Linked DNA regions of Cricetulus griseus. The protein of the gene in region 3 interacts with the protein of the main gene of each other region in a pairwise test. Links are inferred from orthologs where the notes say so. Each region holds a gene or a part of one and is shown on either strand. Other genes may lie near its edges. The genes, in order: Frs3, Nedd9, Rfx6 and Dtx2.

Region 1 (5,978 bases), on a different chromosome or scaffold from region 3:
TGAATCACCAACGTAGCATTTCTTAGGGGCTATGCATGCTCTCTTTAAAACACATTATTCTTGGTGGTAAGAGTGGGGGGGAGAACAATCAAAAATAAAAAACAAGAGTTAGTCCCCCCCCCACTACCTCAGAAGTCAAAGAGCAAGCACAAGGTGCCTTAATGAGTCCACAACCACAGCCTGTCATTTCCCCTTCCCTAGAGATACTGGCAGCCTAAACTCAACAAGCCACTGAGAACGAGGGGGGAGGCTCTGGGTACCTTGAACTTGGTAGGGTGGTTGTGTGGCACGCTGTCTCTGTCCAGGCAGCTACAGCAGCTCCCCATGGTGTCAGAGCAGCCTTTCCACCCTAGGGAAAGACAAGGATGAGTAGCTCACCGGCAACCCTGCTCGGCAGCTCTGAGCAGAGCGGTGCACTGTGAACATATCCTCTGGACAAGAGGTTGCACAACACAGACACACCCTGAGGGAATTCTCTCTCAATCCACAGCCAAACACGCTTGGGATAAACATTAATTCAAGTTAGAATGAGTTAAGGATTCCTGCAGGTGGTGGGGGGGTAACAGTTAGTGTGGCACTGGGAAGCACACAGGGCTCCTACCTGTGGAGTGATATGGACAGTGTCTTGGGCTGCAAAGGCAGCATGGCTATAATGGTGTGGGGAGGGGCTGCCTCAGCTGTGTTGGATTCAGCAAAGTGCCACTTGGTGTCCCAGATACCGTCTTGTTGCTTTCTCTTTTCCTCAGCTTTTACCTTACCCATTCCACTCTATCCATGTTCTGACTTTTCTTTCATGCCCCACCCCAATTTCCACTGGAAACCAGTAATTCTGATGTTCTCCTCAAGTAAACTGTTGCTACACTGTGATCATAAAACACAATGAGCTATGCCGGGTGGTGGTGGTATGCACCCTTAATCCCAGCACTCAGAGGCAGAGGCAGGCAGATCTCTGTGAGTTCAAAGCCAGCCTGGTCTACACAGTGAGTTCCAGGACAGCCAGGGCTGTTACACAGAGAAAGACTGTGTGGGGAGGGCGGGGGGCGATAAACAAACCAATAAACTAAAACAACCCCACACTTAATGACTGAACACTGGAACTCACAGAGCTCTTGTCTCCATTTTTCAAGGGCTGGAGTAAAAGTGCATACTACCAGGTTGGGCTCAAACTAGCATGATTAAAAAAAAAAAAACATTGATTAGGTATTTCTTCACTGAGAAAAAAATTCTGGGGCTCAGCATGTAGCTCAGTGGTAGACTTTCATGTGAGGCACCAGATTCAACCACCAGCACTCTAAAATAACTACCAGAATGCTTAGTTTTCTTCCCAAAGGCCAAAGAACAGATAAAAGACCTTGGCTGGCTTTTCCCTTCAGGATACTTGTAATTGGATGACATGTCACAACAGACAGGTTTCTGCCTTAATATGGAGAGGAGACCTCGTAGACCTTAGTGACCTAAGGGAACAAGAAACACATGGACAGAGCCCAAACAAGTTACTACCACTGAGCTACACTCCTAGACTCAGCCAGCAAAAAACCATGAGGCAGCAGATTATCCCAGAACTGCTGCTGCTGTGGTAGGACCTTGAACAATCCAGCGACCTGTTCCCTACAATTCTCCCAAGTTAAGAAATCTACAAAACTGACACCTAGCCACAGTTCTTACCTCACCCAGGCCATTGGGGAGCTGACCATGGGAGGGGCATGGGAAAGAATTCCCACTTTACTCCCCCAGTCTTTGGTGGGGTGACATGGCAAAGAGTCTGCAGAGACGTCACCTGGATCCCTGTGGGTCACACCTGAGGCTCACCTAGCACAGGAGACAGAGATCACACATTAATGGAAACCTATCCTCAGCCCCTAACTCTCCATGAGACAGACTTGTTAGCAGTGCATCCCACCTGGATTTATCTGGCCTAGGTCCTAACAGAAAGGCCAGTGAACACAATCTCTGGTAAAGGTCTACAAATTCTCAGTCCCGGGAGGAACTCCCTAGGTCCAACGGCAGTGAACTCCGATAGCCCAGCACCTTTAGTTCACAGCCATCATTGGAGTGCCCTCTGGGACAGGTGCAGCTCAGACCATCACCTGACCCTTCTCTCTCAGAACAACAATATTAACAAATGCTAGTGCAGCAAGAGCACGAGTTTGAGCCTCTGAAAACCAACATTCACCCGCAGGAATGTTTTCCTGCTATGACATAGACATATCTGGGTGGGGGCTTGTCACTCCCCCCCCAAGACCTCTAACTCTTGTCCCCCGCCCCTCTTTAGGAAACATCTGTCAACCATGGGAGTTCTAGCTGAAGTAACTTCTAGAAATAGGTATTAATAAGGCACTGCCCATTTGAAAGCTAGACAGGCTTTCTGCTCCTAGTGCCAGGAAGGCCAGTTACAACAAGAGGCAAAGTTTCAGATTGAGCCCTAGGTAGATGAATTGACAAACCAGGACTCCGAAGAAAACTCTTGAAATCCCTCCTTCCTGTTCCAGGAAAACAGTACTTCCCGGTGTGTCTCCCCCCCCCCCCCACCAGCCCTGCACCCTTGCACAACACTTAGGTAAAAGAATCCCCACACTCTTGGTCTGGCTTTGGAAGGAGGTGTGTGCAGGCTAAAGGCGGTACTGAAAAGACCATAGGGCTTAAACTGTCAACAGGGTGTTGGGAAGGGATGGGAAGCCAAGTACACTGGATGCAAGATGGGGGAGGGCTTGTACCTTTCCGATACCCCTCCTTTTCTTTGAGATATCAAACACATTATTAGATAATCCAGAGTGGGATTACACTGCGTGGGGTGGGGGAGGCTCTGGTCTGAGGTAGTTAGATTTGGGGACAGACACTAGATGGAAGTATGAGGACTGAAAATGTATACGAAGATGGGTGAGGATTCTGGATTCCGGCATGGAGCAAAAAGAATGAAAAGGTTGAGGCATTTCAGGATGGTGACTGCGGAAGCCTTTGGGCCACTGAGGGGAGAACGAGATGTGTCTGTGGGTCTGGAAAAGTGAGTGAGGGGGTTCTGCGGGATCCCGGAGACCCGAAGGTGTAACCGGGGAGAGGAGAGAGGGGAGAGGGGAGAGAGGAGAGGTGGGGTCTGGGGAGCGAGAGGCAGAACTGGTTACAGGTTTTCTAGATACCCAGACGGAATGCGAAGGTCGCGGCCGCCCTCCGAGACCGCATCCCCGCCCCCAGCCCCCGGGTCCGCCGCTAGCCCGCCCGTTTGGGGCTTTCTAGGGTAGGAGCGGAGACTGCGGCGCGGCACGACACGGCCTCGGAAAAGTCGCCTGGTCCCCGCCCCGCCGCACCCCGACTCACATCGCCCCGCGGCCCGGGCGGCGCCGGGCCCCGCTCCCGGGTCCCGAAGCAGCAGCCGCCGCCGCCCGCCCGCAGCTAAGGCCTCCCCGCCCCGCCCCGCTCCGGTCCCGCGGGGTCGGAGGTCACCGGCTGCACCAACGAGACGCTGCGGGCAGGCCGACCCGGGCGGGGGCCACCGGCAGGCAGCCTAGAAGGTCCCTTTGGAGGACTTTGCAGTCGGGGGCAGAGAGCATGCGCAGACGCCAGAGGGCGCTCGGGGCCGGAGCCTGGGAACCCATAGGGGCGTGGCCTGGCTTGAGGCGCCGGGTGGGGCGGGGAACGTAGGTATCAGCGATCTCTCAAGCAGAAGAGAATCACCAAAGGCAGCAGAGCGGGTCGGCCACTGAAGCAGGACAGGACTCGAAATCCAGGAGGGAAAGTGGCGAGGGACCACTGGGGACAGAGGGGGGGAGCTGCAGAGGACCGCAGGGGGCGGGGCTGAAGCCGGGGGCCGGCCGAGGGGCTGCAGACGCCTCGCGGTTCGGCGGTGGAGCGTCGCGTCGCTAAGTTTATGGATGCCTGCCTGCGCCCTCCCCGTCCTGAGACCCACGAGCGCGATCCTCAGTCTGCAGCACCCTTTGGTCGGGGCCACCGGGGGCGTAGACCGACGGGGGGGTCTCTCCAGAGAGAGAGACTGGGCCACGCTGAGACCCCTGCGGAGAGTTTGAGTCCCTACTCTTAGACCAGCAGGTAGACAGGGACCCCAAGCGAACTTGGTAAGCACACGTTGACCCCCGCTCAGCGGGTGGACCTGCAAAGTCCTAGGAAAAGTTTGGGGCTCTGCCGAGAGGCCACTTAATGAAAACGTACATTCTCCTCCCTTTCCCTCTGGTTCAGGGACACCTTCCCACGTCCACTGCCCTCCAGTCCCTAGGGCCTCTGGGGCTCATCCTTCCAAGAAGAGGTGTTGTTTGGGGAGGTTGAACCCTGAGCTTGGTTGCATCTGGGGTGAGGGGGCGGAGCCAGTGTTTGATCTGTTCTTACCTGAAAGGAGAGAGGAGGGGACTTACAGGGGGTGAAGTAGGTCTCTCTCTCTCTCCTCTCTCTCTCTCTCTCCTCTCTCTCCCACTCCTTTTCGGGACAGAGTTTCTTTGTGTAGCTTTGGAGCCTATCCTGGCACTCGCTCTGGAGACCAGGCTGGCCTCGAACTCACAGAGATCCGCCTGCCTCTGCCTCCCGAGTGCTGGGATTAAAGACATGCGCCACCAACGTCCGTCCCTAGGTTGCTCTTGAGATGGGGGATATGAAGGATGAAGGGTAGAGGTCTGAATTCTGATTGTTATTTTGTGTGCCAGACAGTTCCATGCAAACTAGAACTAATCAGGAAGAGGGTACAAGTCCCCTTCTGGGGCCCCAGAAACGCACCCCCCCTCCCTTGTTTCGTGGAGCTGAAACAGTGCTGCTAAGGGGTGTGGCTGTTCCCACCCCTGAGTGTGGACAGTCCATCCTGGCCACCTTCCACAGGAAACCTGACCTGAGGGACTAACAGGAATTCCGGAAGCAGGTGGGTGTGGAGTCAGGAAGGAGGGAGGGGTGGCACTGGATATTTGAAGGGGAGCTGGGGGGGGTGGTACTTGGAGTTGGGAGGTGCTCTGATGGTTATAAACAACTGCAGAACACTCAAAAGCCTGGTGATTTTCTGTTGGTCCTTTTGAGTCCAGCTGCTGCTGAGGTAGGCTACCTCCTAAAACTTCTGTAGCTTTCTAGTTTACTCACTGGTCAATGGTTGGTTTTTCAACTGTAAAACAGTTTAGAAGAAACTGCTTCAATGGGTTATAAGAATGGACTGTATTATGTAAAATTCTAGAATAGTTACTGACACTACATGAACCTAAAAGTTTGCTCTGGCTATCAGCATCCCACACAACCCAACCCTTCACCCAGGATTAATGTACATGAGCCTTGTTCTGTCTGGTTACATTTCTCACCCACAAACCTGAGACCCCCATCAAGAGCAGTTAGTCCCACCCGAAGAAACTGTGATCCCATTTCAACTGTGGCTAAAGAGGTGCACTGGAACCATCTGTTAAAATTGCTGCTATAAGGCTGGGTGTGGTGGTGCATGCCTTAGGTCTCTGGCACTTTGGAGGTCGAGGCAGGAGGATCAGGAGTTCAAGGCCAGCCTTGGCTCTATGAGCCCCTGTCTCATGCTGCTCTAACGGCAGGTGGTATAGCCTGATGGAAGAAAGCTTGCCAGGTTTTCGAGAGGCTGTGGGTTCAATCAGAAAGAATGAGTGAACACAGATTTTCTTGGACCCTTGAGGTATTTAGACTAGATGGGGAAACACTGGGTGACGATTTGGGGGCTTTGAGGACTCGGAGGGGAGAACCGGTACAGGCCAGCGAAGCTGAGGAGGAGTCCTGGTGAGGAGGCCTTCAGCCAGGCTCCAAAAGGACGTAGCTAGAAATGTGCAGCCCAAGTCATGTGTAGTGAGGGGGCAGATATGGGGGATGCACTGAGGAACCTTGGGAAGACTGGGGAGGTGAGGATAGGTCCAGCCTACCCAGAGGCTCATGGGAGAACAAAATGGTTCCTTCCCCTGTTGCCTTCTCTTCTACTCCACCCAACTTTGTAAGACCTGAGAATTTGAACTTCACAAACTCAGGGGCTAAAAGATCTGACTTTG
Region 2 (5,462 bases), on a different chromosome or scaffold from region 3:
AGGCTCTGTCTCTCTCTTCAAGATGGAAAATTCATGAAGCTTCTCTATTTCTCCTACCCTGTCTGTCAAGATGTACATATTATGACTCTTTACTACAAGCAAGTGTTACAAATGCACACCTACTTTGGGGAAAGGACACGAGGAAATCCCAGCATTAATTGCTTACTGTATTTTATAGCATGAGTGTGCTGGTCAGAGGACAATCCATGGCAGGAGGTTTCTGGGGATCAAACTCAGGTCATCAGGCTCTGCAGCAAGTCCCCAACACTGAGCCATCTCAATGGCTTGGGCGTCAGTTTTTTTTTTTTTTTCTCTTCTTTGTATCCCTAACTGGACTGTGATTTCTGATTGAAATGATAATTTCTAGCTATTTCACCAAGAATCCCAGGTTTAGGACTCAGAGCTGAGTCAGCACAGGAACCATAGCATCCTGCTCGCCCCGCCCCTGCCCTCTGCCCTGAGAAGTGCATACATAGTTAGTCAGTTTTGTATTGCACAGAATTCTTAGGAATTACTTTAGTGTGTGATAGTTCCCTTAAGCTCTGCTGTCTTCTGGGGCCAATTGCCAATGTAAACACAGCAGACATAGGGTGGTGTTCCAACATTATTTGATAATAATGAGTTTGATTTCAAATCATGTGTTCACAGAGGGCAGTACTTTCCTATTTTACAGAGAAGGAACTGAAGTTTTGGCCCATTACATGATGCTCAAGTCGACACACCTGTTGGCTACAAACAAGGGTTTGAACTCAGGTTTTCTAAAGGCATCTTGTCACTTCATGGTGTGGTGCTGTGAAATAGCACATCAGCTATTTATTTCATCTTAAAGAGTCTGTATCTTTAGTCAATTTCTCTTTGATTTCATGCCCTTGACTTCGAAGTATCTATCCTTACCTGCGGTGCTCATTAGCCCTTTACGTGAATGTGCTCTGCTCAGAACCCTTGGTAAATGGACTTGGGTATGTCTCACAAACATTGGATCATTCCCTTTGACCCTTACAATGGACCATGCAAAAGACAGGTAGAGAGATAGGGTTGGGGAGAGAGCTAGAATCAAACTCTCTTAGGAATTTGATAACCACAGAAGGGGGTTGACCATTAACCAAGGAATCCCATGTGAAACACCATGCTTTGGAGCTCAGCACAATGGCACACCCCTGCACTCCCAACACTCAAGAGGTTGAGTAAGGAGAATATCAAGCTTGAGGCCAGCCTGGGCTTCATAGTGAGACCCTATCTCAAGGCATAACATAATAAAACAAAGTCCCATAGAAAGGACTTTGAGTGTCCATTGTGAGTTTTATAAAGTTAGATGGGGCCTGAGGGAGGAGGTGACTAAAGAAAATGTCAGAGTAGAGGAGAATGAAGGAAATATTGGAAGAGAACCACAAGGTAAACAAGGAGAAAAGATAGCCTTTGATCCTGTTGGTCTTGGCTCCATTTTCATTCTCCTGATTTCCTTACTGTGGCCTCAATAGAAAACCAATTAGCTTGGGCCAGCCTGATTGGACTTGTGTTTTGAGACCAAAGGCTTTAACCCAAATAGTCCTAATGTGTTACAGATTAACAGGCATAGCCCGAACAAACCCCATCATTTGGATGCAAGCCAGGTATACTCAGTTGGAGTCACAGACCACAAACCTTCACTTTGTTCTTATGTCCTATTATACGCCTGGGACTTCTTCATGCCAGCGTGCTGGCAGGACCCCAGCCTTTTGAAGTTATCCATTCCCTATTAAGTGGAGCCCTTTCTTCCACCAAAGAGCCCGTTGTTTTGTTTGAACTTACCTGATGATGCTCCAGCTGGGCCTTGCTCTGCTTGATGATATTCTCTTTCTCCAAGAGCTCCTTCTGCTGTCTCTCGAACTCCTCCTTGCCCTATTGTTTTCAGCACAAAGACTGCATTACCTCACCACTGGGAGTCACTTAGAACAGCTTCATTGACAAATGCACTCAGACTCTCATTGTTCCCTGGCCACTTTCCTCATGTCCCCCTAGACATTGTAAACCACTGACAGGGGCTTCCAGAGTTAGTGTGGAGACAGGCTTGAAAAGTGAAGCCTGCTTCCAGGTGGGCTGCCATGGTTGTTGCTCCTTATAGCTGGAGAACTTCCCATGATCCTCTTTATGCTTCTTAAGAGGCTTTAATTTTTCATGGTTCTTTTGTAATGGATTATATGTAAACGCATGCACTTTCAAACCAAGGTAAAAAATGGGTGCATATTTCACTTCCAATTTCTTTGAATCTCCTATATCTCCCCACCCGTACTTAGTACCCTCCAGGATACACCATCAGAAGCCTGGAGAGATGGATGTTAAATGCCTTCATCCAGCTTAGGCCATTCCTCAGCATGAGATGAGGCTCAGGTGATCCTTTCTACTCTCTTGCACCTGGGAGATTTCAGTATTAAACAGTTTTCAGCATAATTCATGGCCCTCAATCAAATGGAAAAGAATGACAGAATAAGACATTAAATACATACTAAGTACTAGTTTATGGTGGAGTGTCTAAATTCTTCAAAGCAGGGGTCATTTTCAGGATTCTAGGTCAACTGAGAACTAGCACAATTTATACTTCTAGGAAGAAGTTTGCAGAGTTTAATAAATGCAGACCAAGCTGTTGGCCAGTTGGCAAATGATCACAGGTCCTCTAAATCTGATGGGGCTATGATTCTTTGTAAGCCGTGAAAGACACACACACACACACACACACACACACACACACACACACACACACGGTCTCAAGAGTTCCTTAGAAACTCTATGAACAGATATTTTCAATAGTTTTATTTTCTTAACAGTGACATATTTTAAAACTTCTTTCTATTACTACGGGCTGTTTCATGGAACTGTGCTATAAATAAGAATTGATGCCATGACTAGTGGACCCACTGTTCCCCATTGGTGAGTCTCCTCCTGCTTGCTGAGGTATGTGATCAGTGAGCTTTAATACAACCCTTTGAGTTAGTGCATTCTCAAAATAAAATTAGGGCCCAGGGAGGTAAATAAAGTGACTGTACAATTTCTGTACAGCTCCACCCTTAATTTTCACAACACTTGGATTAGCACTCAGTGTGCTCTGCCCTTTGGCTGTCAGGCCTATAGATATCCATCCTCGGCTCCCTGAATGTGAGTGTGGGTGGTCCACGGGTCTGGTTTCCTTACCTGTAGGTGGACATAATCATAATCATCCATCCAACTCCTTTCGGAACCATCACTGCTACTACAGTCTGGTGGCTGCTCCTTGCCTAGAGTGGGAGGCAATGGCTTATTGTGGACCTGGGCCTTGTAGTCACCAGGGCGCAATGGCTGCATCTGGGACCCCGTGTGCGTGTACTCGCTTGAGTTCGTGATGCTGTCGGGCCCATTCTTCAGATGGGAACTGCCAGGACCTGCTGCTCTAAAGAGGGTCTCTGCATAGGTGCTGATGGTGGTGGTCAGTTGCTTGGCATCATCTGGTACTGTCTTGGCTACCATCACAAACCGGTCCAGATCATCGCATTTATTTTGAGGCTTATTGATAGCTAGGACATTCAGGGACCAGCTGCATTCATTCAGATCATGGCTGGTTTGACTTAGAATCTGGTGCGAATCTTCGACTCTTTGGAGTTCGCGCTTCATTTTGGTGTGGAGGACCAGTTCCGGGAGGCAGGAGGCATTAGCCAAAGCTCCCCTGGCAAAATGGAGGTATTCGCGTAAAAACAGCTCCACCTTGTCCACTGCGGTACGGATCTCATTGATGTGTCTTTCCATGTATCCGTAACACCGCCAGTCTGTGGTGACGAGTGACGTGAGGCTGCAGACACCCATCTCCAGGGTCTGCTGGAGCCGATAGAGTTTTTCAATGGCTGTGTCTGGGTCCAGTAGGAGCCTTTTGTCCTGAGATGGGGAGGCTGACAATGAGGACTCCTTTGAGGAGGTGGAAGATGTGGACATGTTACTCCTGGTACTTCCGGTGCTGGAGAAAGACAGCCGGTTGATGCCGTCTACCACATCCCGAGAGCCTTTGCCATCTGCTGGGTTGTGCAGAGGAACATCGTAAACACCATCTCTTTCCTCCAGATTTGCCTTTTCACTGGTTTCTGTGGGTGCCTCCAGAAACTGAACTCCCCGGGGGACATCATAAGCATCACTCGGAGTTCCCCCAGACTGGCCCAGCTGAGAGGGAGGATGATGCAGAGAAAGGTTCTGGTGTCTTCGTGCCATTGGCTCTGCAGCTCCTGGGGCATCACAGGTGAATTTGGAGTGAAGGTCCTTCCCCGCTGTCTTGGTGCTGGTTGGAGGGATGTCATAAACCCCCTCAGGTCTAGTGTCTGGTCTTCCATCTTGTTTCATTGGAGAAGGGAAGTCATATTCCTTTTCCCTAAGCCCTGCTTCATCTCGATAAGCTGATGGTGGAATGGCATAGACCTAAAAAGTAAGTCAAAAGCCAATTTATTTGTTCAGTTGGATCTTGGATGGAGGCAGAAAATGACAGTCCATGAAGGTGTGGTCCAGAGTGCACAGATCTGTTTATTAGATCTTCTTTTTCACTCCACCCACCATTTACTAATTTCCGATGTTTCCCAGGGTGTAGCATGGTCCTTAGAGGCTATGTGCCCTCATCCATACACATGAGCATTCATTACCATTCTCAATGCTGGCTGCCGTGGGCGTAGAGCCCTAACTTGTCACCACTAGGTTGCAGTCTTGTGTCTCCAACCATTTACTAACTATCCTGCCCAGGGTGACCCATGCTGAGAGACGAACTGAGTTCTCTTTTTGGTCATCAGATGATTTGTAAAGCTGCCTGAGTCTCCTTAGTAGTCAGAGGCAGGGTTCCCTGTCTGTTCAGCAAAGCTAGCTGTGTTTGAAGTGTGGGCACTCTCAGAGAATGACAGAAAACCAAAAGAGCTACCTCTTATACATGAACTGAGGAAGCTGTGGACCAGTGGTTCTCAACTTGGGGGGCGTGACCCACTTGGGGGTGAATGACCCTTTCACAGGGGTCACATATCAGATATCCTGCATATCAGATGTTTCCATTACAATTCATAACAGTAGCAAAGTTACAGTCATGAAGTAGCAATGGAACAGTTTTATGCTTGTGGGGGTCACCACAACACGAGGAACTTTATTAAAGGGTCACAACATTAGGAAGGTTAAGAACCACTTCTGTAGACCCTTCTAGAAATATGTGATGTATTAGATATTGAAAACTGAACTCACTATCTTCCCTTCCAATTGACTCTCATTATTGACACCTCTTTATTTCAGGGGACCCTCTAAATTTGTGATTACGATTATAAATTTATAATCAATTGCTGTCTTCTCTTCCTTGCCTTCTTCCCTCTTTCTCCCATTCCCACTTCTGACACCAGATATAGTAGGAAATTACCAATACGGAGTCAGGTAGAAATATAAGGGTATTTAATAGGGAAAAGCCTTACTTACAGAGCGAACCAGCCAGCCGGTGGTAGTCT
Region 3 (6,103 bases):
ATGGCTATAAAATGTGCATATCTTACCTTCTTCCGGTCTGCTCACTTTGGCCCTTTCCCTCATTGGAGGATGCTTGCCCATACAGTGCTTGTTTTCCTCAGCCAGTCTACTTACTCACACATCAGTTGTCCCCAGGACACCTTCACAGAAGACTTCCATTATATGGAATGTTCCTGAGTATGTCTACATATTAGCAATTAAGAGGCAAGCCCTACACACTAAGCAGGCTGGGAGGCTTTCAGAGGATTTGGTAGAGACTAGTCTGCCAAGTCGTCCTAGGTAAGCAACAGTGTCCCTTTGTCTAGCATATCTACATTGTTTATGCTTTCTGGGTTATGTGATGGACTGTTGGAGTACTGCATGGCTTCGGCTCCATTAACCCTTGTTTTGCTTTCTCATGATCCCCAAATGATAGACTGGTGAGACAGAGGAGACACCAGCACACAAAACATGGGAGGACAGACTGGCTTGGCTTCCATATAGCAACACTGCAGGACATACAGGAAACAAAAGCATAAACAGAGTGTGATTCCACCTACAGTTTCAAATAACACTGGACATCTTAGAACACATCCCCATGGAAATGGGGGCTATTGAACTCAGACATGGTCATCCAGGATGAGGGCAGACTTGCCTCATCATCTAAGCATTCTGTCATGGTATCCCCTTAGGAAATGTTGACATCAATTCTTTAAACTTTGGGTGCAATTTACTACTTACACCTCCTTGCCTTGGGATTTTTAATGTTGGAAGATTATCTATTACTGATTTAATAACTTTAATTATTTCATGTCTACTAGCAATTCCTAACTCTGAAGAGAAGAACAAAGAACTCCAATGGTGTTTTGTAAAGTAGACCATTTACTTTAAATTATGGCCAAAAATTTGTTTAGGGCCTTAGAAGATATTAGTTTGCATTTCCATCGATCAGTTCAATGGGAAAATTGCCAAATACTCACTTAGTGTTTGTATGACTCACATACACAAACACACCTTCTGGATATCAAGTGGTCTGTATTTTAAAATTAAAGGAGAAATTCCAGTCATTTTCTGAACATTTTCCTCATGGCAATGCAGTATTAGTGGATAGAGCCCTTCTGTGAACACAAAGAGGACTTCCATTGCAGAAAGCACCTGAGTGTGTCTCGGTAAAGGTTGTACATGTTAGCACTGAAGTGAAAAGCCCTACACACTAAGCAGTCTCCAAGGCTTTTTAGAAGACTAGGTAGAGAAGACAACGCCAAGTTGTCCTAATGGGTAAGAGCCTCAGAACATAGGATATGGGTAAGTGTGTGGCTCCAGCCTGCAGTCAGCAGCCACAGGAAGCTGGTGAGAAGAGCTTTGAGAGAGGAGATGCCTTTTCCAGCAAGAGCTGCTGAAAATGCAGAAGCTGCAACACAAGAACAGTTTCAGCTGCCCTGGGGGAAACCCTGCTCTTGGATAGACTGTTCCCTGTAAGTGGTCCTTCAGTGATCTGCCACTCTGGGTCTCATTTTGTTTTCTCTGGGTGATTTCAGTTTAATGTTATTTCATGCTGAATTCAAGGCTGACATCTCTTTCTGATGTCCCCCAAAGAAGATACAGGATCAGCTGTGATGAAACAATGGAAACCAGTGCCTGATCCTATCTTTTCCTGGAGGGCCTGTTTGTCAAAAGGACACAAAATAGAATGAAGAAAACCATGTGTCAGCCAGGCAGTTGGATCCCAAATCCCCACATAGCACCCTTCTCTAAGAAAATCCAACTTACTTTTAAACAAACACGACTTTTGTCATTTTTGATTGGAAGGTTATTAAATTTAAGCAAATATCCCTTGTACACTGCTCAGCGTGAAATGAGGAATTGTAAGGGAATTTTTGAGAGAAAAAAAATCTTTTTTTGTAAGGGAATTTTAAGAGAATGCATCTTTTCCTCCAATCTCGGCAGCTTAGAGAGCTGTGTGAGGCCCAAGTGTCCAAGTCAGTGTGCACAGTGCAGAGCAGTGTGATGTGACCAGCTCTGCCTTCCAGTCACTGAACAGGATGCTCCTGTATCCTTGGATTATGCTGGAAATACATATGATCAAGTCTGTGGGAAGAATGGCGAAAGCTGAATGGTACTCAGGGTTTTATTCCCTCTCATCCTAAGCTTGCAGAGTCAAGGCTGCCCTGACAGGTGCCTCAGTTAAGACTCCCGAGAATAAAGATGGGGACAGGTGAAGCTTCTTGTCCCAGTACAGAGGAAAGCTAAGCTTTCTGGGATCATTCAGGAAGTTTTTCCATAGAGAAGTAGCTCTAAACCTAGAACAAGGTGAGAGAGAACGCATGAAGAGGAAAACAGCTCAGGTGTGACTGACACGGTGTGGAAGTGAGCTGGGAGCAAGCTTCTGCTCAGACCTGAGACGCTCGAAAAAAGGTAGCATTGCCTCCGCCCTCCTCCACCCCGCCATCTGTGCAGTACCTGTTCACTCTGTCCCCTCTCCGCCATCGGTGGGCTCTGAGCCTGTGGCCTCCTCCCTGCCCAGCGGCCACAGGTTCCCCAGCCCCGCCCCGCCCCGCCCCGCCCCTCCCCAGGTCTCTGGGCTCTACACCGAGCTGGGCCAAGCTCTGCTCCCAGGTGTGCAAACGCTGGAAAGGATGGCCAAGGTCCCCGAGCTGGAAGACGCCTTCGTGCAGGAGCAGCCTTCGCGCCAACTTCCCTCCGAGATCGCGGAGGAGTGCTGCGCACAGCTGCTGGGCAAGGGCTTGCTGGTCTACCCCGAAGACAGTGCGTACCTGGCCGCAGGAGCAGCTGCAGGCGCCCCAGGCAGCCGGGAGAAAGGCGGAGACCCCAGGCTGCAGGTGGGAGTCAAATCAGGTGAGTGCTCCGTTCGCCTTGGCTGCGAGGCAGAGACTGAGTCCCAAGGGCGCCCAACAATAAAAATAAACCCATACTGAATACACATAGAAGAAGTAGGGTGCTCTGTCGGGACCGTTTTATTTCACCACGAAAAATGTTAACGGAAACATTGTTAACACCGAGGGCTTTGCTCAACTCCTGCCTTGCTCCTCCCCGGGCTTCTTATTCAAAGCAAGGCAGGTAGATGTGGAGGCCACCGGACTGATCGCATGTTCCCTTGTTCTTTGTCACTCCTTAAACTCGCCATCAGAAATGCATTTAAGCAATGGTAACTTTTCCTCCGAAGAAGAGGATGCGGACACACACGAGAGCAAGACCAAAGCCGCCGACCCGCAGCTCTCTCAGAAGAAGAGCATCACGCAGATCATGAAGGACAAGAAGAAGCAGACTCAGCTCACCCTGCAGTGGTAAGCCGGCCCCTACGCGCAAAGCGAGCACCCTCTGAAGTCCACCTGCCTGCCGGTGTCTCTAGGACCCTGGCTTTCCCCCTGCTTGCTTTCCTTAAAACTTCCACAAGTTTAAAAGACCCATGAGAAAAGCATCCATTTTCTTTTCACTGCCTACACGCACGATCCATGTTCTGATCATGGTGAAAAACGAGATATATATTTTTGACTAAAACCTCTAGGTTCTTCCCATGTGAGTAGTGATGAATTTTTCCGTGATTATTTGCTAAACACGGAAACTATTTATTTGGTATTTTTATGCTTTTGAGATAGGATTCTTCAAAATAACAAAAAGTGGAAGGATCCACATGAGGGCAGATACTGTGTCTTTGGAAAGTAGATGGATTGAGTTAGAAGTAAAAAACTGATAAGTCAGTTAAGCTGTTTTGATTAACAATTTTCAATTTATATAATATATCACACATATGATTTACTATAGCAAAACATCACAAACTGATTTTTTCCCAAGATCTTTTAAAACTAAAAGATTATCACCAGGTCTTCTCCTAAATATTAAGAGCGTTTTTTTTTTTTTTTTTAACCTTGTCTAAAAGGAAGAGATATCTAAAGTTAAGTCCTTGTCATTAAGAACATTTGCATAATGGGAAGGATTAAGGCACAAATTTCTTGCCAATTCTGAATAATAAATAAAAGATTACTTACTTACTGATTAGTTATTCTGTCTGTCTATCGTCTTTCTATCAGTCGTCTATCTAGTATTATCTAAGTGTTAGAAAAAATTGAAAAATAGAATCCATAAATGCTAGCAAACTTTATTTTTGTTTATTTAATTATTAAGTTCTAATTTGCATAGCCTAAAGTTCTGAAACTATGCTTGAACCCTTGCAACATCTGAAATATAAAACAAATATTCCTGTAAAGTTGTATTTTGACTATTGAGGTTTGTTGTTACAATTACTAGTTGAAAATACCCTGGAGTTGTACATAATTGAGAAATTATATGGAATATTTAGGAAACAACTACTGCCATCAGGATAATTGGGAAAATTTTTGACTTTGGATTTATTTTAAAGGATTTTGAATGATCTCTCCTGGGTTTTTAATTCAAATTGAGTGATTAGAAACAATCCTAGGTTGTTTAAAATTCTTATCATATATATGTATATATGATAAGATATATATATTATATATATGTCTAGTTGTTGACTCAGTATTTTGAAAATTGAACAATGACTATAAAAACAAGTACCCAAATAAATGGATTGTGGGTATTATATACCTACCTTTAAAATGCAAGTTTTAAATAGCAATTTCTCATAAGAATTTTCATGTTTTGAAGAATGTTACATTGCTCTTGTGTTATAAATGATTATGATTTTATTAAACTTGAAAGTAGTATAATTACATTTTAGTAAAAATTACTGGACAATTAGAAAAAATGGCAATAGAATATAGAAGTCTTCATTTCTAGATTGTCATTCAGATAATTGCATCACAAACATATTCATTACATTACATTTAGTTAATTAAATGGAAATCTACCCAGGTTTTCAAAGTTTATATAGTTATATCTATACTACAGAGTTGGGATTGTCTGTGTTGTATTCAGACTTCCATAGAGGTATATTGTTGTTTTAGATGATCATAGGTTTAATCACGTGAAAAGTTTTAAGAGTGGAATCAGATCGACATTTCAGCTTCAGTGAAGTGAGTTTACCCTGGTGTCTTTTCCAAACAAATACTATACCATATTTTCTCTTATTGATTAGGATTCAGAAGTAGTCAGGGTGTATGAGCATTGACAAGCTGAAACCTGGCAATCCTTTTGAATTGAGGATGTTCTTTTAAAAAACATAGCATCTACAATTTCACCACTTACAGTCCTAGATCAAATAGTAAACAATTGAACACTGAAGATTTATAAGGAAGTAAGATCCAGTATTTACAATGGTGGCCTGGAAGGAGTGGTTTCTACATTAACATCACATTGTGATTGAACTAACAGGTGATCACTGTTGTTCTTACTCTTCTCAAATTAATCCTTATGTTTTGTTTGTGTTTATGTGGCACATCTGTGCTTGCTTACAACACAAACATTGTTTCAGGGTTTTTGTGAGTCAGGAGTCTAGACAGGTTACTTGCCACTAAGTTCATGGCATTACCAGAAAGAAATTAAGAAATTAGTTGATGCTGGAATTTCATGAGACCTTTTTTCTATTGTTTCTCTAATCTCACTGGCTGTTGAGAGAATTTATTCTCTCTGTAGACCTGAGGTCCTCAACTCCTGTAGATTACCTGTTATTCCCTTACAGGTGGCCCTCTTTAGAAATTACCGTTTGTTTCCCTAGATCTGCAGAGAGTACCTGCTATGACTTCAGGCCTTCCTTCCATTTCTGACTTCCAGACATTGTTTCTAGGGGCAAAATTAAATGTAATCAAGAGAATTTCCTTTAATAGGAAATTAACTAACACTTATACATAACCTTTGTACACGTTTTAAAAGTCCACTGTTATGTTTTGATTATGTAAACACTGAATAGTGACAGCAGTGTAAGGAGTATATCCATCACCATAAACCACTAAGATTCTTTTTATGGAATACACATTCAAATTCCTCAATTTTTGGCTATTTTTATCCAGAACAAAGAAAGCCCATTTATGTTTACTCATTAACTCACTTGTATAGTCTGTTTTCAAAATGAGCATTAAGTCATTGAGGGGGCAGGGAGGTAATAGTGAAAAGGTTTGACCTAACTCTTGTCCTTTTCTCTTAGGCTTGAAGACAATTACATAGTGTGTGAAGGAGTTTGTCTCCCACG
Region 4 (5,236 bases), on a different chromosome or scaffold from region 3:
TCACCACTTCACTCCCAGCAGGGTCATGAACACCAAGTGTGGAATGCCTCCTTCTAACGTTTGTCCCCCTGCATGTCTGATCTCGCACCCGTGCAGGCATGACGAGTGTGCTGTCAGCCATTGGACTCCCTGTGTGTCTTAGCCGCGCACCCCGGCCCACCGGCCCTCCTGCCTCCCGTCCGGCCTCTAAAGGTCACAGCTCAGTTAAGAGGCTGAGGAAAATGTCCGTGAAAGGTAGTTCCTGCCCGGCTCACACACACTGTAGCTCTGCTCAGCTTCCTCTAAATCCTGCTGCTGGACTCTTCTCTGCCTTCCATGGCCCTTCTCTACTTCTGCACCTCTTCTCCTGCCCTTGTCTGCCAGCAGAAGTGGCTCAGTATTGTTGGGTGAAGGGCTTGTTGCTGAGGACATGTAACTTCAGTGTTGACCTGGTTGCTGATCATGATGCTGCTGTCTCTTCAGGAAGCCTCACTGACTTTTGAACCTTGGTCTTCCTGCTGCCACCTCCTAAGCTTTGGTGTTGCAGGCATGCACCACCACTCCCAGTTCATGTAGCATTGGGTTTGGAACCCAGGGAAGGCTTTATGCATGCTGGGCAAGCAGTCTACCAACTAAGCTAAAAGTCCCAGCCCTCTGCACAAACTTGTATTGTGCTTCTGTAGAGACAGATTTGTGGACAGGGCAGGCTGGCAGCTTCTCAGCACACCCAGTTTGTTTGTAAAGAACACTGACATTTGGCCGGCAGTCCCTCTGGCGCTCTGGGGGATAGGTAGGTGACTCTTACGGGATTGACGTGGCTGGCCTGAGTGCTTTGAGAAATGCCAGTAACTGAAGCTCCTTTCAGCCATAGAAGGCTGTGTGGACAAGTGGGCAGCAGGATGCCTAGCTGGTTCTGAGCCAGAGGGAGGTCCTGAGGTTACCTGGAGACTGGTCTGTGTAGCATAGAGCTTCCCTGTCTTCTGTTTTTGAGACAAGTTATTGCTGTACACTCAAGGCTGGCTTGGAATTTTAGTCCTGCCTCTCAAGGCATGGACTGCCATGCCTGGCTGACTGGGCTTTTCTAAAAGGCCCCCTGATCTAAAGGAAGTCCTACCTATGTGGTCCTTTTGTTTGGTTTTCTTGCCAATGACCAGAGTGTGAGTGCTTTGCAGGTATTGTGAGTTGTGTGCATGTGTGTGTGGGTGTCTGTGTCTTTGTGTTTGGTGAGTTAGGGCATATGTGGGATGTATGTGGTACCCTTTGCTGGTTTCTACCTTGTCCAGGAGCTAACAGCTGATACTTTTTTAACCAATGACAACTTCCTGGATCTCTGAGGTAGTAGGATTTGGTCACAGTACATGAAGTAGAATCAAACCCCATGTCCTCTGATTCTAGCTTCTACACTAAGCCCCTCTCCATGTGGCTGTGACCTGCTTCTCTGGTCTGGAGTGGTCCTGTGGTCCTCAGGCTAGACAGTGGGCCCCTGGTTGGGTGGCTGCTTCAGGGCTGCACCGTTCTCCCTGGCCCCTTTTCTGCCCCCTCACTGGCTTAGCTAAGATTCTGAGACTTTGCTGCCCCTTCTGTCCTACTCTTCTGCTACTTGGAGACTTTTAGTCCCTGGTTCAGGGCTCCCCTCAGCTGAGCCTCACACACTCATGCACAGCCAGCCGCTTCCAGGATCACTCAGCTTCAGAGCCCAGTGGGCCTGTGACCAAGATCCTCCAGTCCCAAGGTGTGTGTGGGGTAATGTGTTGTGACAACATTTTCAGTGCATACAGATGCTCACATTGTCCCCACTCCATACCCACTAGACTCTAAACTACCCCTCTCTGAAATTTCCATGGAAAAGTGCTGATAGTTGGGCAGGAGGCACCACCAGGATCTGCTGGGGTGCTTTGTTCTCAAAGTTGCCCTTTGACACATCTGGGGTGGTTCTTGGGGGATGTGCTGTTCTGTTGTGAATTCTGTGTCTCCTCGGAAAGCAGGTGGCCTAGGTGGGGTGTCACCTATCCTGTGCCTTCACTGGAGGCTGCCCTGTCTTTCAAGCTAACTTTCTTGTCTCAGCCCTGCTAACGTTTGCTCCTTGCAGCTGGGACTTCTGCCTGCCTGCCTGCCTGCCTGCTCCCTCCTCAGCCTTGCTCACCCCACCTCACATGCCTGGGACATCGCTGACATCTTGCTCTCTTCCAGATGGGCCGCCGAAGCCCGAGCCGGAGCATGTGATCAGAAAGTACACGGAGGAGCTGAGAGTGGCCCCCGATGAGGTATGTGTGCTGAGAGAAGGGCCCCATCCCTCAGGGCCTGGAGGAGGCTGACACTATGCTCCAGAACCTGGTGTTGGTTCCACCCTTTCATGGTTGGATAGACATTACCAACATGAGGTAGCCTGAGCTCATTCTCACCGCATGGCCAAGCTTAAGTCCTGAGCAGTGTGCTTTCCCCTCTGGCCCATGGGGTACGTAGGCATGACTGACTGGCTCTGCCAGGCCATCTTTGTGAGGGAACAAGGTGGCCTTGCCCAAGGGACACCCTTTCTTCTCTGGCTTCTGTGTCTAGAGAGACCATTGGGTTCTTTTTGCCTTGTGGCCTGTGTTTTTTGGTCAGCCCTTCAAGGACATAGGTGAGAGATGGCGCTGTGGTCCTATGTTAAGGAACTGTTTCTGGGTTGACTTTGATGGCTTGGCATTCCCTCCTTTTGACAAAGCCAGGACTCTTCCTCCCTCACCCCTGCACTGGCTCACTGTGCTTGGTATTGGTGTGTGAATGCTATGGCGGATGTCCTAGCAAGTGTGTGCTGTGTGCTTTCCCTGCAGGACTGCATCATCTGTATGGAGAAACTGTCTGTGGCCTCTGGGTACACCGATGTGACTGACGGCAGCACCCTTGGGCCCATGGCTGTGGGACGCCTCACCAAGTGCAGCCATACTTTCCACCTGCTGTGCCTGCTGGCCATGTACTGCAATGGGAACAAGGTACCCATAGGTCTAGGTGGGGCTGTGGTGACCTGTCCTCACGTTGTGGTGTTACATACCTGTAATCTCAGTACTTGGGAAGCTGAGGCAGTAGAAGCATAAGTTCTAGCCCAACCTGAGCTCTACAGAGAGACCCTGTCTCAAGAAAACCAAACAAGGAAGAAGCCCAAGATATGCTAGTACAGTAGCAGGCTGAAGGGCAGATGTTGGGCTGTGGGTTGAAAGACTGGGCTCACTCCTGATTAGACCAGTAATGGCCTGGGCCAGGAGTATAGCACAGTGGTAGGGCACCTGCCTAGAATCCCATGTGGCTGGGGTGTGGCATAGTGGTAGAGCACTTGCCCTAGGTTCCCAGCACCAGAAAAAGCCAAAGGTTGGGGGCTGGAGAGATGGCTCAGAGGTTAAGAGCACTAGCTGCTCTTCCAGAGGTCCTGAGATCAATTCCCAGCAACCACATGGGATATAACCATCCATTATGAGATCTGGTGCCCTCTTCTGGTGTGCAGATATACATGGAAGCAGATGATACACACATAATAAATAAATAAATAAATAAATAAATAAATAAATAAATAAATGGGCCAAAGGTTTAGAGATGTTTTTGAATGTATGTCTGGGTCCCTGAGGCCCACCCCAAGCTGTAGGATTATGGCCAACAGGGCTGAGTACATGACCCCCTCCAGCTTACCTCAGGAAGGGGTCCTGGGCTCGCTCCTCTGGGCATTAGGGCTGTGTCTCCTACATACTACCACTTCCATGCATTTAATATCTTCCTCTGACAGTCCTGAGTAGTCAGCCATCACCCTTAGGGCACTGTGCATGGACACCTGCTTTCCCAGCACTTGGGAGGTGATGCCAAAGGCTCAGGAGTGCAAGGGCAGCCTGTGCTGCTTAAGATCTTCCTCAAACAAACGGCAAGTAAAATAGTCAGCAGATAGAGGAGCTTTTTGTACAAGTCTAACCCTGAGTCCATGTAAAAGTGGAAGGAGAAAACCGACTCCGTTAAGTTGTCCTCTGCCTTCAGATGCATGTCCATACAGGGAAACAAAACAAAAACTTAGGACTCTGGCTAGAGTCCTATCCTACTCCTGACTGCAGGTTCCATGCCACTTCTCACAGGGAGGGTCCTTCTCAGGCCCCAGCAGCTGGCCCAGCTGTCTTGTGGAGGAGTTTAGTCAGAGGTGTGTAGGCGGGAAGGGGAGGCAAGTCACACAGTTTTCGAGGCCTGGTGCTCCTTGTACACTTCCCGAGAGCCATGTCAGGGAGGTCTGTGAAGGTGACTAAGTGGAGACTTAACTCTCATTTTCCTACCATGTGCCAGTCTCCTGGTATCTTGTCAGTTGAATGAGAACCGGGTTTGGGGTGCACAACGGTACACTATTGAGGTCCAGTTTCTGTGAGGGGGCTGTGTGGGGGCCAGAGTAAAACATGCTGACCCCCTTTGCTATCTGGACGTGGCTCTAAATTGTGCTGGTTGCTGCTAGCTCAGGCTGTCTGCTCTGCCCTCTCTAGGATGGGAGTCTGCAGTGTCCGTCTTGCAAAACCATCTATGGGGAGAAGACAGGAACACAGCCATGGGGAAAGATGGAGGTGCTCAGGGTCCACGTGTCTCTCCCAGGCCACGAAGACTGCGGGACTATACTCATTGTTTACAACATCCCTCACGGCATCCAGGTGAGGGCCAGCTCCCCACCAGGGACCTGGCCAGGCCACCATTCCTGAGCGCTCTTCTTCGTGCCCACTGCACTCTCAGCATCTACACCATATAGGGAGCAGGACGGCCCTGCCTGGAGGGGTGCTGGGGTTGTGTAATGGAAGAAAGAGAAGTATCTTTTGACCCTTCTGAGTGAGGGAGGCTCTTCACAGGAGGGAATGTCTGAGCTGGTGTGGTGTGGGCAGAAGAGGATGAAGAACACTGCTGGGGCCTCATGAGTGTGCGTCAGGTGGTAGGGTACAGGGCGGGAAGGCTGAAATGCCGGCCAGGACCCTTACTACTAAGGGACCCAGTACTGAGGCTCCTCCATGGCAGAAGCCCGCCCACTCAGGGTTCATGAAGAAAGGCAAGAGAAGCAGGAGCGTGCATCCTTGCCCCTGGCAGAGTTCACAGTGTCCTTATGAAAGAGGAGGCTGCCAGGCCAGGAGTGCAGGTTATAGACAGGCAACCATGGCTGGGCGACCACACTGACTTTGAGTGTTGGCACAAGAGGGGACCACAGCTAGGCTGTGGATGAGGGTTCCATAGCCTGTGAGCTGCAGCTGGCCCCAGTTCTGCCATCAAGTTGTCT

What was found.
Region 1: the proteins of Rfx6 (region 3) and Frs3 interact in binary tests that used the Homo sapiens proteins (3 or more experiments, as listed by UniProt). The two-hybrid records come from large-scale screens. The link is inferred for Cricetulus griseus from reciprocal best matches to the Homo sapiens genes RFX6 and FRS3.
Region 2: the proteins of Rfx6 (region 3) and Nedd9 interact in binary tests that used the Homo sapiens proteins (3 or more experiments, as listed by UniProt). The two-hybrid records come from large-scale screens. The link is inferred for Cricetulus griseus from reciprocal best matches to the Homo sapiens genes RFX6 and NEDD9.
Region 4: the proteins of Rfx6 (region 3) and Dtx2 interact in binary tests that used the Homo sapiens proteins (3 or more experiments, as listed by UniProt). The two-hybrid records come from large-scale screens. The link is inferred for Cricetulus griseus from reciprocal best matches to the Homo sapiens genes RFX6 and DTX2.

What each region holds. Positions count from the first base shown.
Region 1 is NW_023276806.1:255,491,070-255,497,047, forward strand, and holds the start of Frs3 (fibroblast growth factor receptor substrate 3), read right to left. Parts: upstream 3,499-5,978; 5' UTR 3,313-3,498; intron 1,810-3,312; 5' UTR 1,666-1,809; intron 350-1,665; 5' UTR 327-349; coding exon 261-326; intron 1-260. UniProt on the Homo sapiens protein: Adapter protein that links FGF and NGF receptors to downstream signaling pathways. Involved in the activation of MAP kinases. Down-regulates ERK2 signaling by interfering with the phosphorylation and nuclear translocation of ERK2.
Region 2 is NC_048596.1:260,973,484-260,978,945, forward strand, and holds part of Nedd9 (enhancer of filamentation 1), read right to left. Parts: intron 4,411-5,462; coding exon 3,166-4,410; intron 1,879-3,165; coding exon 1,789-1,878; intron 1-1,788. UniProt on the Homo sapiens protein: Scaffolding protein which plays a central coordinating role for tyrosine-kinase-based signaling related to cell adhesion. As a focal adhesion protein, plays a role in embryonic fibroblast migration.
Region 3 is NC_048595.1:257,101,262-257,107,364, reverse strand, and holds the start of Rfx6 (DNA-binding protein RFX6), read left to right. Parts: upstream 1-2,615; coding exon 2,616-2,835; intron 2,836-3,127; coding exon 3,128-3,284; intron 3,285-6,058; coding exon 6,059-6,103. UniProt on the Homo sapiens protein: Transcription factor required to direct islet cell differentiation during endocrine pancreas development. Specifically required for the differentiation of 4 of the 5 islet cell types and for the production of insulin.
Region 4 is NC_048597.1:115,025,649-115,030,884, forward strand, and holds part of Dtx2 (probable E3 ubiquitin-protein ligase DTX2), read left to right. Parts: intron 1-96; coding exon 97-234; intron 235-2,169; coding exon 2,170-2,243; intron 2,244-2,792; coding exon 2,793-2,951; intron 2,952-4,463; coding exon 4,464-4,625; intron 4,626-5,236. UniProt on the Homo sapiens protein: Regulator of Notch signaling, a signaling pathway involved in cell-cell communications that regulates a broad spectrum of cell-fate determinations.